Regions from separate parts of the Mus musculus genome. Here region 2 is reported to be linked to region 1. The links are microRNA targets in miRTarBase. Many come from high-throughput screens and were not tested one by one. Region 1 holds a microRNA gene; the other region holds the end of a gene's coding sequence.
Evidence for each region. The annotated mature microRNA mmu-miR-3965 reads UGCUUAUCAGCCUGAUGUU and lies in region 1 at 5,254-5,272, opposite strand. An mRNA with a match to its seed (bases 2 to 7 or 8) in the 3' UTR can be bound and repressed. Matches are read on the target gene's strand: a 7mer-m8 pairs with bases 2 to 8, a 7mer-A1 pairs with bases 2 to 7 and ends in A, and an 8mer does both.

Region 1 (7,265 bases):
GTTAAGATGCTTGCTGCCAACCCTGTAGGATCTGAGCTTAGTTCCCAGGAACCCTATGGTGGAAGAGGAGAACCATCTCTTTCAAGGTGTTCTCTGACCTCCACACAGACAAGCTGTGGCATGTGTTTGCCCACACAAACTAAATAAGTAACTGTAATAATAACAACAGTAGTCTTAGTAACAACAACAACAACAACAATAACAACAATAATAATAGCCACAGTGGGAATCTTACTCCTCTTCAAAACGAAAGTCACAGAGATGAGTGAGTGACTGAAGGATCTTACTGCCCGCTTTATTTTATTCTCTCTGAATCAGGGTGTTCATTTGTTTGTTTGTTTTTCAGGACAGGGTTTCTCTGTGTAGCCTTGGCTATCCTGGAACTCACTCTGTAGACCAGGCTGGCCTTGAGTTCACAGAGATCCACCTGCCTCTGTCTCTCAAGTGCTGGGATTAAAGTCTCTGCTACCATCACTGCCCGGTCCTCAAGGTTTTCCTATGTAGCTCAGGCTGGTCTCCAGTTTGCATCAATCCTTCCTGATGGTGGTGCCCCTCCATGCCTGACTACTCTCGACTCTTAGAGCATCTCTGTCCAGAACCTCAAAAGGCAACTGATGTTCCTATTACCCTGAACCCCCAGCTGTCTTTGGTCCAGGGAACAGCAAACCTCTCTGAGAGATCACTCCATGATGAGATCATACCCAAGGAGAAGTACTCACCTCATGGGAACAGACTTGACCCCTCAAGCAATAAAGACATCTTCAGAAGCCGCGCAGAACGACAGCTGATACAATAATAACTACTTAATTACATGTAGCTCTCACACCAGCTCAATTCTTTCTGTTTAATCTAAAGCTCATGTTGGTACCCCAAAAGTGGATTGGGGGGCACTGGTTCTTTTGTCTATACTTTCCAATACGGGATCTCTTTTCTCTGCTTTTCACAATCTTTCCATTTCTTCCTCCTCCTCTCTCCCTCTCGCTATTTTTTGTTTATTTATTTTGTGTATATGTATGTGCACGCACATACCATAGCGCTTCTGCAGGGCTGAGAGGGACAGCTGGAAGGGTGTGCGTCTCTCCTTCTATTTGTGGGTCCCAGGGATTGAACTTAAGCTGTCCGTCTTGGCTGCAAGCACCTTTACTCACTGACCCATCTCCATAGCTCTTATTTTTACTTCTCAGACACGATTTCCTGTAGCCCAGGCTAGCCTTGGACTTGTGGCTCAGGATGACTTTGAATGTTTAAATCATCCTGCACCGAGCTACCTCTATCACGGTGCTGAGAATGGAACCCAAGATATTGTGATATTGTGATATTATGAGCTAGGCTAGGCAATCCTCTATGACTTCAGTCATAAAGAGCCAGCTACACTCTTCTGCGCTGTGTACTTAGCTCCCAGGTAGAAACCATGGCTGGCTGCCCTGCTGGTGTGAGGCCAGCATGGGGAGTGTAAAGTCAGCAACCAGGGCTTCCTGGGTTGCTAAGTGACATATGCAAATGAAGCCTTATCTGAGACTTCTTTAGGGACTGTCCCTGATTTTTATAGCATTCTTTTTGTTTGTTTTTATTTTTCAAGACTGGGTTTCTCTGTGTAGCTGTGGCCATCCTGAAACTCACTCTGTAGGCCATGCTGACCTCGAATTCAGAGATCTGCCTGCCTCTGCCTCCTGAGTGATCAAAGGTGTGAGCCACCACCACCAGCCTTCTTGAGGTGGGAGAACAGGCTAGCTAATCTTCTCCACCTCTCCTTTCCTTCCTTGCTATGCAATTGATCTGGATATTTTGATCCGATAAGCCAGGGCTAGAGATGTGGCTCAGTCGGTGGAGTGCTTAGGCCTGGGTATGAGTACCAGCACTGGATAAACCTGGTGTGGCGGAGCAAGCCTAACACTAACCCTAACACTAGGAGGTACAGAGGCAAGAGGGTCAGAAATTCAAAGTCAGCCAGAGTTACATAGCAAGTTTGAGGATAGGCTGGGCTACATGAGACCCTGTCATGACTATTGCCAATAATCAACTAGAGTTACCTGGAAAATATTTAAAATCATCTGGCAGTCGAGTCTCTGGGCATGCCTGTAGGGGATTATCTTGGCTATATCAAAGGGTCTTAGGACTTTCACAATGGAACTCACAGAGATCCACCTTCCTGTGCCTCTGGCCTTGTGCGATTCATTCATACACCAGCCACCACAAAGGAGGAGCCACTTTTAACAGTGGGCAGGCCTGTTCCCTGGGGAGCAGACCCTGGGCTGTATAAATGGAGCAAGGCTGCTGAGCAGCAACTTCAATTCCTCTGCTATTATACTATTCTAGGCACAGGCAAAGAATAGGGTCAGTTCTAGGTCAAAGACAAAGGAGAAGGCAAGGCTACTCGGAGGAAGTAGGTCACTGAACCCGTTTGTCCTTAGGGACTGTTTATTTATTTATTTATTTTTGTAAGGTTTGTTTGTTTGTTTGTTTGGTTTGGTTTGGTTTGGTTTGGTTTGGTTTTTTGAGACAGGGTTTCTCTGTGTAGCCCTGGCTGTCCTGGAACTCACTCTGTAGACCAGGCTGGCCTCAAACTCAGAAATCCGCCTGCCTCTGCCTCCCGAGTGCTGGGATTAAAGGCATGGGCCACCACGCCCGGCTTGTAAGGTTTTTTTTAAGTTTAGTTTTATTTCATGTTCATTGTTTTTTCTCTTGGACTCATGGACATCTGTGTGAAGGTGTCAGACACCCTATAACTGGAGCCCCAGACAGTTGTGAGGTGCCATGGGCGTGTTTGGAATTGAACTCAGGTCCTCTGGAAGTGCTCTTAACCACTGGGGATTGTATTTCTCACAGGTCTCTTCCTGCCATTTATTTCTGCTTCCTGGTGGCCGTAAAGTGAGCCCCTCTGCCTCACCAGGGGCAGGAACCGTGGAGCTGGCTGACAACAGACTGAGCGTTCTGAGATGATAAGGCAGCATAAGTCTTCCTCCGATATTCCGTGATAATGATAGAACAGTCGGAATGCATAGACAACTGAAGCCAGGAGGCCCTCAGGTGCCTCCTCCCACCCTTAAAAATTGTGGTTGCTTCCTTGGGAGGGAAGATTAATAATAGTACATGTATCTGTACTGACCTGTCTGTCTGTATGTCTCTATCTCTGTCTTTCTCTCTCTCTATCACATACACACACACACACACACACACACACACACACACACACACACACCAGGCTGGGGAAAAACCCAGAGCCTTGCACATGTGGGGCAAATGCTCTGTTCTGTTTGTTTGTTTGTTTGTTTGTTTGTTTGTTTGTTTGAAACAGGGTTTCTCTGTGTAGCCCTGGCTGTCCTGGAACTCACTTTGTAGACCAGGCTGACCTCAAACTCAGAAATCCTCCTGCCTCTGCCTCCAAATGCTCTGTTCTTGAGTCACAGCACCAGCCCCTCCACAGGGGATTGTGGGGAGTGCGTTTCAAAACAGGGTTTCTCTGTGTAGCCCTGGCTGTCTTGGAACTCACTCTGTAGACCAGGCTGGCCTCAAACTCAGAGATCCACCTGCCTCTGCCTCCTGAGGGCTAGGATTAAAGGCATATGTGACCATTGCCCGGCAGATTTACTTATTTTTATTTTATGTGTATGCATGTTTTGTCTGCAGGTGTGCATGGGTGCTACCGCATCATGCATGTCTGGTGCCCACAGATCCAGAAGAGGATTCCAAACCCCTGGAGTGGGCAATACAGATGTTTATGGTCCTCCGTGCGAGGGCTGGAAACTAACTTGGTCCTCAGCAACAACCACAAGAGCTGGTAACCTGCCTCAAGTTTGCCAGTTTTTTTTTTATTTTTATTTTATTTTTTTTATAAAGTAAATAAGTAAATCTTTTTTTTTTTTTTAAGATTTATTTATTTATTATATGTAAGTACACTGTAGCTGTCTTCAGACACTCCAGAAGAGGGAATCAGATCTTGTTACGGATGGTTGTGAGCCACCATGTGGTTGCTGGGATTTGAACTCTGGACCATCGGAAGAGCAGTCGGGTGCTCTAACCCACTGAGCCATCTCACCAGCCCAAGTTTGCCAGTTTTAAAGGTCAAACCCAGATAAGTGTGTGTGTAGTGAGACATACTTTTTTAAAAAAAATAGGGCTGGTGACAAGATCTGACTCCCTCTTCTGGTGTGTCTGAAGACAGCTACAGTGTACTTACATATAATAACTTACATAAAATATTTATTTATTATATGTAAGTACACTGTAGCTATTCTTCAGACACTCCAGAAGAGGGCGTCAGATCTCGTTACAGATGGTTGTGAGCCACCATGTGGTTTCTGGGATTTGAACTCAGGACCTTTGAAAGAGCAGTCGGGTGCTCTTACCCACTGAGCCATCTCACCAGCCTGAGACATACTTTTAATACTCGTACTTGGGTGACAGATACAGGGAGATCTCTGGATTTGAGATCAATCTGGTCTACAGAGTGAGTTCCAGGACATCCAGGGCTACACAGAGAAACCCTGTCTCAAAAAACCAAAACCAAAAACAGCACTAGAGACAGGAAGGTAGAGACAGGCAGATCTCTACGAGTTTGAGGTTATCCTGGTCTACATAGCAAGTTCCAGACCAGCCAGGGCTACACAGCTGAATCTCGCTAATCAGTTTTTTGCCAACTTGACACAAACATAAGACATCTGAAAAGAAGGAATCCAAGTTTTGGAATCTGGATTTGCCTTTACTGGATTGACCTGTATGCAGGGCATTTTCTTAATTACAAATGATGGATGTGGGAGTGCCCAGCTCCTGTGGGCAGTGCCACCTCTAATCAGATGGTCTTGGGTGGTATAAGAAAGTAGGTTGGGGCTGGAGAGATGGCACAGCAGTTGAAAGCTCTGACTGATCTTTTAGAGGTCCTGAGTTCAATTCCCAGCAACCACATGGTGGCTCACAGCAATCTGTAATGAGATCTGGTAACTTCTGAAGACAGTGACAGTGTACTCATATACACAAAATAAATAATTCTTTAGAAAAAAGGAAGAAAGGAAGAAAGAAAGGAAGAAAGCAAGAAAGAAAGCAGGTTGAAGACAGGTATAGTGGTGCACACCTTTAATCCCAGCACTCAGGAGACAGAAGCAGGAAGATCTCTAAGTTTGAGGCCAGCCTATTCTACAAAGTGAGTTCCAGAACAGCCAGAGCTACACAGAGAAACCCTGTCTCAGCAACAAGAAGAGAAAGAGAAAGGAAAGGAAAGGAAAAGATCAGAAACCAAAGCCGCCTGAGCAAGCCTTGAACATCAGGCTGATAAGCAGCAGCCTTCTGTGCACTCAGCTGCAGCTCTCTGACTTCCCTCCACGATGAACTGTGGCCAGAATGTGCAAGCCAAACAAAACCCCTCCTCCCTGGTAGCTTTTGGTCATGATCTTTATCACAGCAATAGAAAACACACTAAGACAGAAACCTTATCTAGGGAAAAAAAAAAAAAAAAAAAGGCAGCTTGGTTGGGCCTCTCTGAGTGGGTGATGTAATCCTGTTTGGAAGTAGAGGCTGGAACGGCAGGCATCCCGACCAGCGACCAGCGTGTCTGCCCCAAACTTCTTAGCTGGCACTGAAGGACCATTGTGATCCAGGCCAGGCTCCTTCTCTAGACTGACCCGCACCTGCTCCTAGATCTGGGAGAATTCATGGTGACTATGAATAATAGCTATATCTAGCACGTGGGGTTTCTTTCCTCTGTTTCCTGTGCGCTGTGGCACTTCCCCGACCGTATAGGCTCTTCTATGTGTGTACATGCATGCGTGTGGCATATGCATGTGGACACATGTACACTCTTCCACTTTGTGTGGAAGCCAAAGGCTGGTGACAGGTATGTTCCTTAATTGCATCTTCACAATTTTTGTTTTGTTTTGTTTTTGAGACGGGGTCTTACTAGGTAACCCTGGACTGCCTGGAACTAGCTGTGTAGATCAGGCTGGTCTCAAACTCACAGAAACTGGCTTGGTTCTGCCTCCTGAGTGCTGGGATTAAAGGTGTGCACCACCATACTCAGCTTCACCTTAAAATTTATTTGTCGCCGGGCATGGTGACACACGCCTTTAATCCCAGCACTGGGGAGGCAGAGGCAGGCAGATTTCTGAGTTCAAGGCCAGCCTGGTCTACAGAGTGATTTCCAGGACAGCCAGGGTGATACAGAGAAACCCTGTCTCGAAAAAACAATATATATATATTTGTTGCCTGGTGGTGGTGGGATGTACCTCTAGTACTAGTACAAGCACAGGAGGCAGAGACAGGCAGATCTCTGAGTTCAAAGCCAATTGATCTATAGAGTGAGAGTTCCAGGACAGCCAGAGCTACACAGAGAAACCCTGTCTCACTGTCTCAAAACAAAACAAAACAAAAAAATTGTTTAATTTTTGGTGTGTGTGTGTGTGTGTGTGTACATGATATGGGCATGCTTGTGGAGGTCAAAGACAACTTCATGGAATTAATTCTCTCTTTCCACCTTTATGTAGGTCCTGGGAATCGCCCTCTGCTTGCCAGGGCTTTTGTAGCAGGAGGCTTTACCTGCTGAGCCAGCCTGCCAGTCCACCACATTATTATTACTGCTGTTGTTGTTTTTGTTTTGAAACAGGGTTTCTCTGTGTAGCCATGGTTGTTCTGGGCTCACTCTGTAGACCCGGTTGGCCTTGAATTCAGTGAGATCCACCTGCCTCTGCCTCCAGAGTGCTGGGATTAAAGTTGTTCACTTTTTTTTTTTTTTTTTTTGAATGGAGTCCCTAAACCTGTAGATTGCCAGGGAACCCCAGAAACACACACACACAGGTTATTCTTGCATAAAATCATTGCCTTCCAGACTCCCCTTTTTCTTTATTTTATGTATATGAGTACACTGTAGCTGTCTTTAGACACACCAGAAGAGGGCATGAGATCCCATTACAGATGGTTGTGAGCCACTATGTGGTTGCTGGGAATTGAACTCAGGACTCTTGGAAGAGCAGTCAGTGTTCTTACCCGCTGAGCCATCTCTCCAGCCCCTCTCCCCTTCTTCTTTAATGGCTAGTTGCAAGGTTTCCATCAAGGCTCGGCTCACACCAGGCGTGATGCTGTGTGTCTGTAATCCAGCATTTGAGATGCAGATGCTGATGATGCTGAGTTCCCAGCCAGCAGTGTACACTGTTTGGTTCTCTCTGTCCACCATGTGGGTCCTGGCACCGAACGCAAGTCACCAGACTCCATGGCAGGTGCCGTTACTCACTGAGTTAACTTACTGGCTCAGCCTGGACAACTTAAAAAGATACTGATTA
Region 2 (7,000 bases), not on the chromosome of region 1:
CCAAGTAAGTGTTCCAGAGCCAAGTTAGAAATTACTTTGTGCTAGCTAGGCATGAGCCACCATGAGGCATGAGGATCACAGAGTTTGAGACTAGTCTGGGCTACATAGCAAGACCTGGTCTCATAAGGACTAATAAGGGCCTGGAGAAGTGGTTCATCAGTTAAGAGCACTTGGGCTTGCAGAGAACCCAGGTTTGGCTCCTAGTACCCAGGCTGTGCTCACATGTCTACTGTAGGAGCCAGATACACACACAACACACATACATGCATTCATACACACACACACACACACACACACACACAAATAAATTTAAACAAACAAGAATCCGTGTCAGTTATGACTTGAAGCAGGAATTTAGAAGAGGAGAAAGGTGGGATTCAGCTATCATGGGTAGACAGCTCCATAGTGACTGGGAAGTGGTGTAGGGAAAGAGGTAGGCAGTTCATTTGGCATGCATCAGAGCAGAGAATAACTCAGTTTGGGAGAGGCATTTAGGGAGGGAAGGGAAATGGTATATGTAAATTAGTGTAAGGAATGGTGAGCAATGTATGGCAGGCCTCATATATTTGGAAATTCATCCTGGAGCTAATGGGAACTATCAAAGCTCAATATAAGCAGCGTTTATAAAACAAGCAGTGTGGGGTCCAATGAGATGGCCCACTGGGCAGAGGTGCTTGCTGCCCACGCTGAAGCCCTGAGCTCATCCCCCAGAGCCTGCCAGGTGAGGGGAGAACCAGCTCCAGAAGTTGTCCTGTAGCCACACACACACACACACACATACACAATGTACAAATTAATACAAGGAACGTGGCAGTGAAGTGAAGGGTGAATTAGAAATGGTTTTACAACAAAAGCTGTGTCCCAGGAAGCAGACTCAGGGCTTGACCTTGGATGAAAGCAGTGGGGCCACAGCAGATTGGGGGATTTTCTAAAGCAATACAGCTAGGATTTGTGGTGGTTGACTGTGAGTACGGAGAGAGGGGAAGGGTCACCCAGGAAAGTTGGGGGCTTTCGTACAGAGCATTTGGGATTGTTTTACAGCTTAAAATTGAAGTTGCAGCCAGTATTTCCATGGTGACCATCTAAGACATAGCAGAGAACTCCATTTCGGTTTTGCATTTCCTCTAGGAGATCATCCTGTGGAGAAAAGCACCCGAGAAACTGAGAAAACAGAGGACGAACTTTCACCAGCGGTTTGAATCTCCAGACTCGCAGGCCTCTGCGGAGCAGCCTGAGATGTAAGCAGGTGGGCAGAGCAGCAAGTGCAAGAACCGGGCCAAGAGAGCAGCTCAGCTGGCTGACGACAGTCGCAGCGTGCGGACATCCCAACTCCACGTCTGCTAGTCTTCCTTATCCTAGAGTGCTGCGTTTATTTTACAGTATGATTAAAGGTTTTGTGTATATACATTTTAAAAAGTGCTTCTTGGAAACACTGGAGAATTCCTAAGCTGCCTTTTTTGTTTTCTTTTTTACTGCACACTGATAAGCACTCAGAAGCATAAACATTAAGGATTTTCATGTGAGTAGACTGGTATTTGTAATTTTGCTTTCTTTATGCATAATGTTGAAAATCCTTTTCTCTGTTTTCATGCTAATGATTACCTCTTATTCTCTATGTGCAAAAAATTAAATATTTTTGTTCAAGTAAAATGAGAAAAACCTGAGCAGCCCTTATGTCCTACAAAGTTTTAAGGCATGGCTCCTCAGTATTTTTGAGAATTGTGTTTATTTTTACATGTGGATCAGAAACCAACCTGGTGTTACATGGTAGGCACTTCTGGGTCTACCATTCACAGCCTCCTGAATTTTAATCTTTGGGATCTCTGAGGTATATGAAAGATTGTCACCCCAGGGATGACATGGTTTGTCATCGTGGCCCTCTTGCCCCTTATTGACCACGTTTGCTATGACTTTCTGTATCATCATGTAGGTTCTGCAGTGTGGAGTTGACACATTGGCATTTTAGAACTTGTTAAACCTGTATCATTTTTTTTCCATAAAGACTTTGAAACATGTATATATTTTTTAATTTAAGGACTACTTTCCATGTGTATGCAAATCGTCACCTAGGAATGAGAGAGCTTGGGAGAACCAGCCGAAGTGTCCATAGCCGGACAATTTCTTGTTAACTGGAATATTGGCTAGTTCAAACTTGACTTCACGTAGTCTATTTAAAAAAACCCGAACCAAACAGAACAAAAAACACTAAATTCATACCATTCTCTGAAAAGAAGGCTGCAGTCAGCTGAGCACAGACACACAACTGAGGCGTATGGGGCAGGAGGAAGCCTGTGTGGGGGCCACTCTCACTCAGGGCTTGTTGGTTTCTGTACCAGTGTTCCTTGATACACCTCAGTACAGGTTTGTCAGTTAACTTTACTTTCTAGGAAGCTCAACAGCCCAACTTATGTTTCCTTAAACCTATTTTTTACTATGATGGCACTTTGATAAAATGGCCAGCAACCAGCCCTGGCCAAAGGTTCACATACCACGTCCTGGAGCAGCTATTGTCAATGTGGGTTTCTAAGGACGGCCATGTTCTCCTTCATGTAAGTGCCTGTTCAGAGTCTCAAAGTTTCAAAATGCCAAATATTTTCATGGTCACTTGCATGTATAATCTAGGAAATATTCAAGGAGATTTTGAAAAACAATTGTATTTAACCAGCCTCAAGTTGTGCAACCATGATATATAAAATAAATAATTTGAAACAGAAACTTAAGTTTGTAGTTTAAATAAAATGACTTTATTCTCAAATCTTGTCATTACAGCATTGCCCAGTGGTTAGGAAGACAGTCACAACAGTGAACTTTTATTAGTAGTACTAGCTTCAGGTTTGTTAAGGTTTTGTTTTGCTTTGTTTTTTTAGGTTTTATTTATTTTATATGTATTGCTGTTTTGGCTGCAAGTATGTCTGTGCAGGCATGTGGGCAGTGCCCAAGGAGGGCAGAAGAGAGCATTAGATCTCTTGGAGCTGAAATTACAGGTGTTTGTGAGCGGCCATGGGGGTGCTGGGAACAGAACCAAGGTAGCCAGTGCTGTTGACCACTGAACCATCTCTGGGTTCTCCAGCTTCAGTTTTAAGTAGTTATATAATGCTTTTAATTAATTTGCTTAAAACTCATATAAAATGCTTATTCATTCCATTTGATTCTTTTCTGATGCATAACCAACTTAAAATTTGGGGATTTCAGTCAAAACTTGATAAATAAAAAAGTTAACTATAGGCTAAATCTGTTTGCCCCCTGCAGAATATAGTGTCATAGATAATCTCAATCTTAGTCACATGCCAGGATCACTTCAGGAGCTTTAGAAAAACGGTCACACCTAGATCTCACCTAGACGGTAAAATCAGACTCTAATGGGAGTTGTGCTGCATACGTATAGTCCCAGCATGTGTGTTACAGAGGTAGGAGGACTACCTCAGGGTCAGCCTGGTCTACATAGTGAGTTCCAGCTTAGCTAGAGCTGTGTAACGAGACCCCCATCTAAAAAAAGATTGTTTTTCATATATTGGGGCATTAACATAAAAACAAGATTATCCAGGATTGAAGAGACAGTAATCACATTTCTTGTTTTGTTTAGGTTGGTCTCTACAGCCAGGACTGATCTCAAATTCACTATATAGCTGAGGATGACCTTAAAATACATTTAAGAAAACAATAATAAAATAGGGTTTTGTAGTCCAGGCTAGCTTTGAACTTACACACCAAGATGATCTGTAACTTGTGGTCCTCTGTCTCTGCCGCCCTGTGTTGGTATTATAGGCTTGCACCACCATGCCTGGTTTACATGGTGCTTAGACTTCATGACCCAAGGCTTTGAGCATCTTAAGCAGCATGCTGAGCAAGCACTCTGTCAACAGAGGCTAACTCTAATCCGCCCCTCTACCTCCTGGTTTGTTTATGTCGGGTTAACTGCTGATCATTTATGAAAGCATCCTCCAGTGGCATATACCTCTGCAGAGACTTTACAGATTTAAAGTTTTTCACCCTTATGCATAGTGAGGAAAACAGGTACCTTTCTATTTTTAAATACTTGGATGTTCTGAAAATCTTAGTACTTGGCTTCTTACATCATGGCCAGATTCTACATTGCAGAATACATCTTCACCCTAGTTATGTCCAATTCCATACACCTTGCTCCACTCAAATTCTAGTAAGGTTGTCCTGGGAACCTCAGTTTTTTGTTTGTTTTCTTGGTTGGAGTTTTTGTTTTGTTTTATTTTGTTTGAGACATGGTCTCAGCATTTAGACTCGGGTTGTCTAGAACTCTTTGTAGACCAGGTTGGCCTGAAACTTGAGACATACTCTTGAGTCAAAGGTATATACTACCATCACTTGGCTTCTTCTTCTTCTTTTTTTTTTTTTTTTTTTGATCTCATTTTTTTTAAGTTCAACATTGGGGAAGGTGGACAAAGAGAAAGAAAAGAGGAAGAGGAGGGATGTAGAGTTAATTGGGGAGGGGTGGGGGAGCCTGGAGTAGGGTGAGAATTGTAAGGCAGAGGGAGAGTCTTGTTTCCAAGGGGGGTGAACTAACAAAGGGTTCCAAAGGGGGGGGGGGGGTGTACACTCCAGACTAGGAGAGTGGGAGAGTGTTGGAGGGCACAGATTCTGAGCCAGGCATGGGGATTTTGTACAATGGTTAGCCAATGGTCAATATAAAGAAACAGATTGAGGTGTTCTGGGGTCCCTCTGACCTTTAGCCAGATGGCTTGGGCAGTGGTGGGGTCCAGGGAGCCTGCTGCTGGCCAGCTTACTTTACATGAAGGCCAACTGACCTCACAAAAACAGTTTTTCCTTAATGAGGGTAACACTGTAATTTTCTCTAAAACTGTGGGGAGATTTAATACTGCATCATAGGGGAGACTTGGTTGGAATAGTTGGTCCCCATTATGGAGAAAAGTTTACCTAACTCTGGGAATCAAAGGGTCAAAGGGACCAGACTGGAGAAGGCAATACTGAAAACGAGCCTCTTTGAGTTGAGCACAGGGAGGAGGAGATAGGCCCAGGAATGTACGTGCTTATATGGCTGGAGAACTCTTGTTCTAGGAAGAAAGGAGGGAGAGTAGGCTTATAGACAAAAGACAGAGGATAAAACTTACTGGAACTGTCAGTATTATCCCAGGGAAGGGATTAATACTGCTCATGTAACAGGTGAGGAGGGTAATGGGTTGCTCCCTGAAAAGCAATGTGATATACCCCAGGTTGCCTTCTGGTTGTCACTAAGTCAAAGACCAGCTCTCCTATCCTTGAGACAGACAACAAGAGAACTCTGTATACTTCTCCTCCCCTTCACCCACTCTCTGAAAGCCCTTTCTCTATCCACCCCTCAATGGTGACTCCCTGGCCTTAGTCCCTGTGGACAGTGAAATCGCCAAAGAACAGCTTTCCAATAAACCTGCCTTTACTATAATCTGGATTGATTTGGCTCATTTCACCGGCAGAGAAATAACCTATCAGAACTAAGGTGATTTATCAGATCCTGAGAGTCTTCAGAAAACGAGTTCACCAAGATGTGGTGATGCATGCCTTTAATCCTAGCACTTGGGAGGCAGAGGCAGATGGGATCTTTGTGAGTTTGAAGCCAGCCTGATCTACAAAGTGAGTTCCAGGACAGCCAGGGCTACAAAAGTGAAACCCTGTCTCAAAAAACAAAACAAAACAACAGAAAACCTAAACAAAAAGAAGAGAAAGTAAGAAAAGAAAGGTGTAGTCTCCCCTCCCCCAGCCTGAAACCTGCTTGCTCAGGGGTGGAGCTTCCCGCTCAATCGTTCTGCCACGCTCACTGCTGGAACGTGCGGCTTTGCTGTTTGGAGCCACACACGTGATCACCCTGCTACTGGACCCCGAGATTATTTGGCGGGAATTGGGCCCCCTTCCCCTGCTTTATAACTGAGTGCCGAAATAGTAAAAATTGAATCTTGAGCAGAGAGCTTTGTCTTGGTTCCTTCCTTATCTCGCGCAGCCCAGCCCCTCTTCTCTTCCAGGTTTCCAAAATGCCTTTCCAGGCTAGAACCCAGTTTGTGATCTACTGGCCAGACACAACAGAAAGGTTCTGAGGTTTTCATTTGTAAAGGTTGATGGTTGAGCATTAACAAAGATCATCGCTGTTCACCTTGGCCTCTGCTCCCCTCCCTTGCACATTCAACGCTTTATCTGCAAAGAAGGAACAACTTTGTGGAGGGACAGGCAAGAAAAGGTCTGGGGAGGGTTCTTCCCTGTAGTGAGTCTGGAAGCAGACTTGGGGTGGTCTAATGAGAAGCAGAGGGTTTAGGATGGATGCGCTGTCCTAGCTGGAGGCCTGGATGATGAACTTGAAGGTAGAATCTGAGTACTGGAATATGGGCGTGACTGCTTCATCAGGGTTCTAGTGGATGAGGTAAATGGAGCCTGGTTACAAAAACAGGTAGTGGAGTCTGAGGAGCTGAAGGCGGGTGGACTTTATCTCGGGACTAGGGGCTGACAATTTTTGTTTTTTATTTTTTACTTTTAGATTATTTTATGTGTATGAGTGTTTTGTCTTCATGTGTGCCTGCACTACAGGTGCGGGAACTTGAGGATGTGGTGAGCCTCCATGTGGGAATCAAACCTGCGTTCTTTCAACAAGTGCTCTTAACACACTGAGCCAACACTCCAGCTCAACATTTTTTTTAATTTAATTTTTAAATTTTATATACATTGGTGCTTTGACTGCATGTCTGTGTGAGGGGGTACAGAAGATACAGACAGTTGGGAGCCCAAGTCTCTACAAGAGCAGCTAGTGCTCTTAACCACGGAACCATCATCTCTCCAGCCCAAGGACAAAGTCTTAACCCAGGTGTTAGGCTCCAGCTCGCTACAGCCCCACCCCCACCGATGGTGCCGAAACCGAGTTCCAGGTAGCCACAGCCCTTCTCCTGAATGATCACCAGGCACTTGAGTCATGACCTTACATGGGGAAAAAAAAGCCAGCTCTTGTCTGACACACAACCTTTCCCCTTGCTCAGGACTCTTAAGAATC

Region 2: miRTarBase lists Vps26a as a target of mmu-miR-3965. Seed matches in the 3' UTR shown: 8mer at 1,482-1,489.

Annotation. Positions count from the first base shown.
Region 1 is chr5:134,324,501-134,331,765 of GRCm38, reverse strand. It overlaps Mir3965 (microRNA 3965), which reads right to left and starts at 5,312; the gene lies at 5,244-5,312.
Region 2 is chr10:62,450,987-62,457,986 of GRCm38, reverse strand. It overlaps Vps26a (VPS26 retromer complex component A), which reads left to right. Exons shown (of 9, transcript NM_133672.3): 9 at 1,129-3,144. The coding sequence ends at 1,242. It overlaps 4930507D05Rik (RIKEN cDNA 4930507D05 gene), which reads right to left. Exons shown (of 1, transcript NR_027926.1): 1 at 6,634-7,000. It also overlaps a transcript of Supv3l1 not described here. Among named protein-coding and RNA genes, the nearest start is that of Supv3l1, 4.7 kb to the right of the region's middle.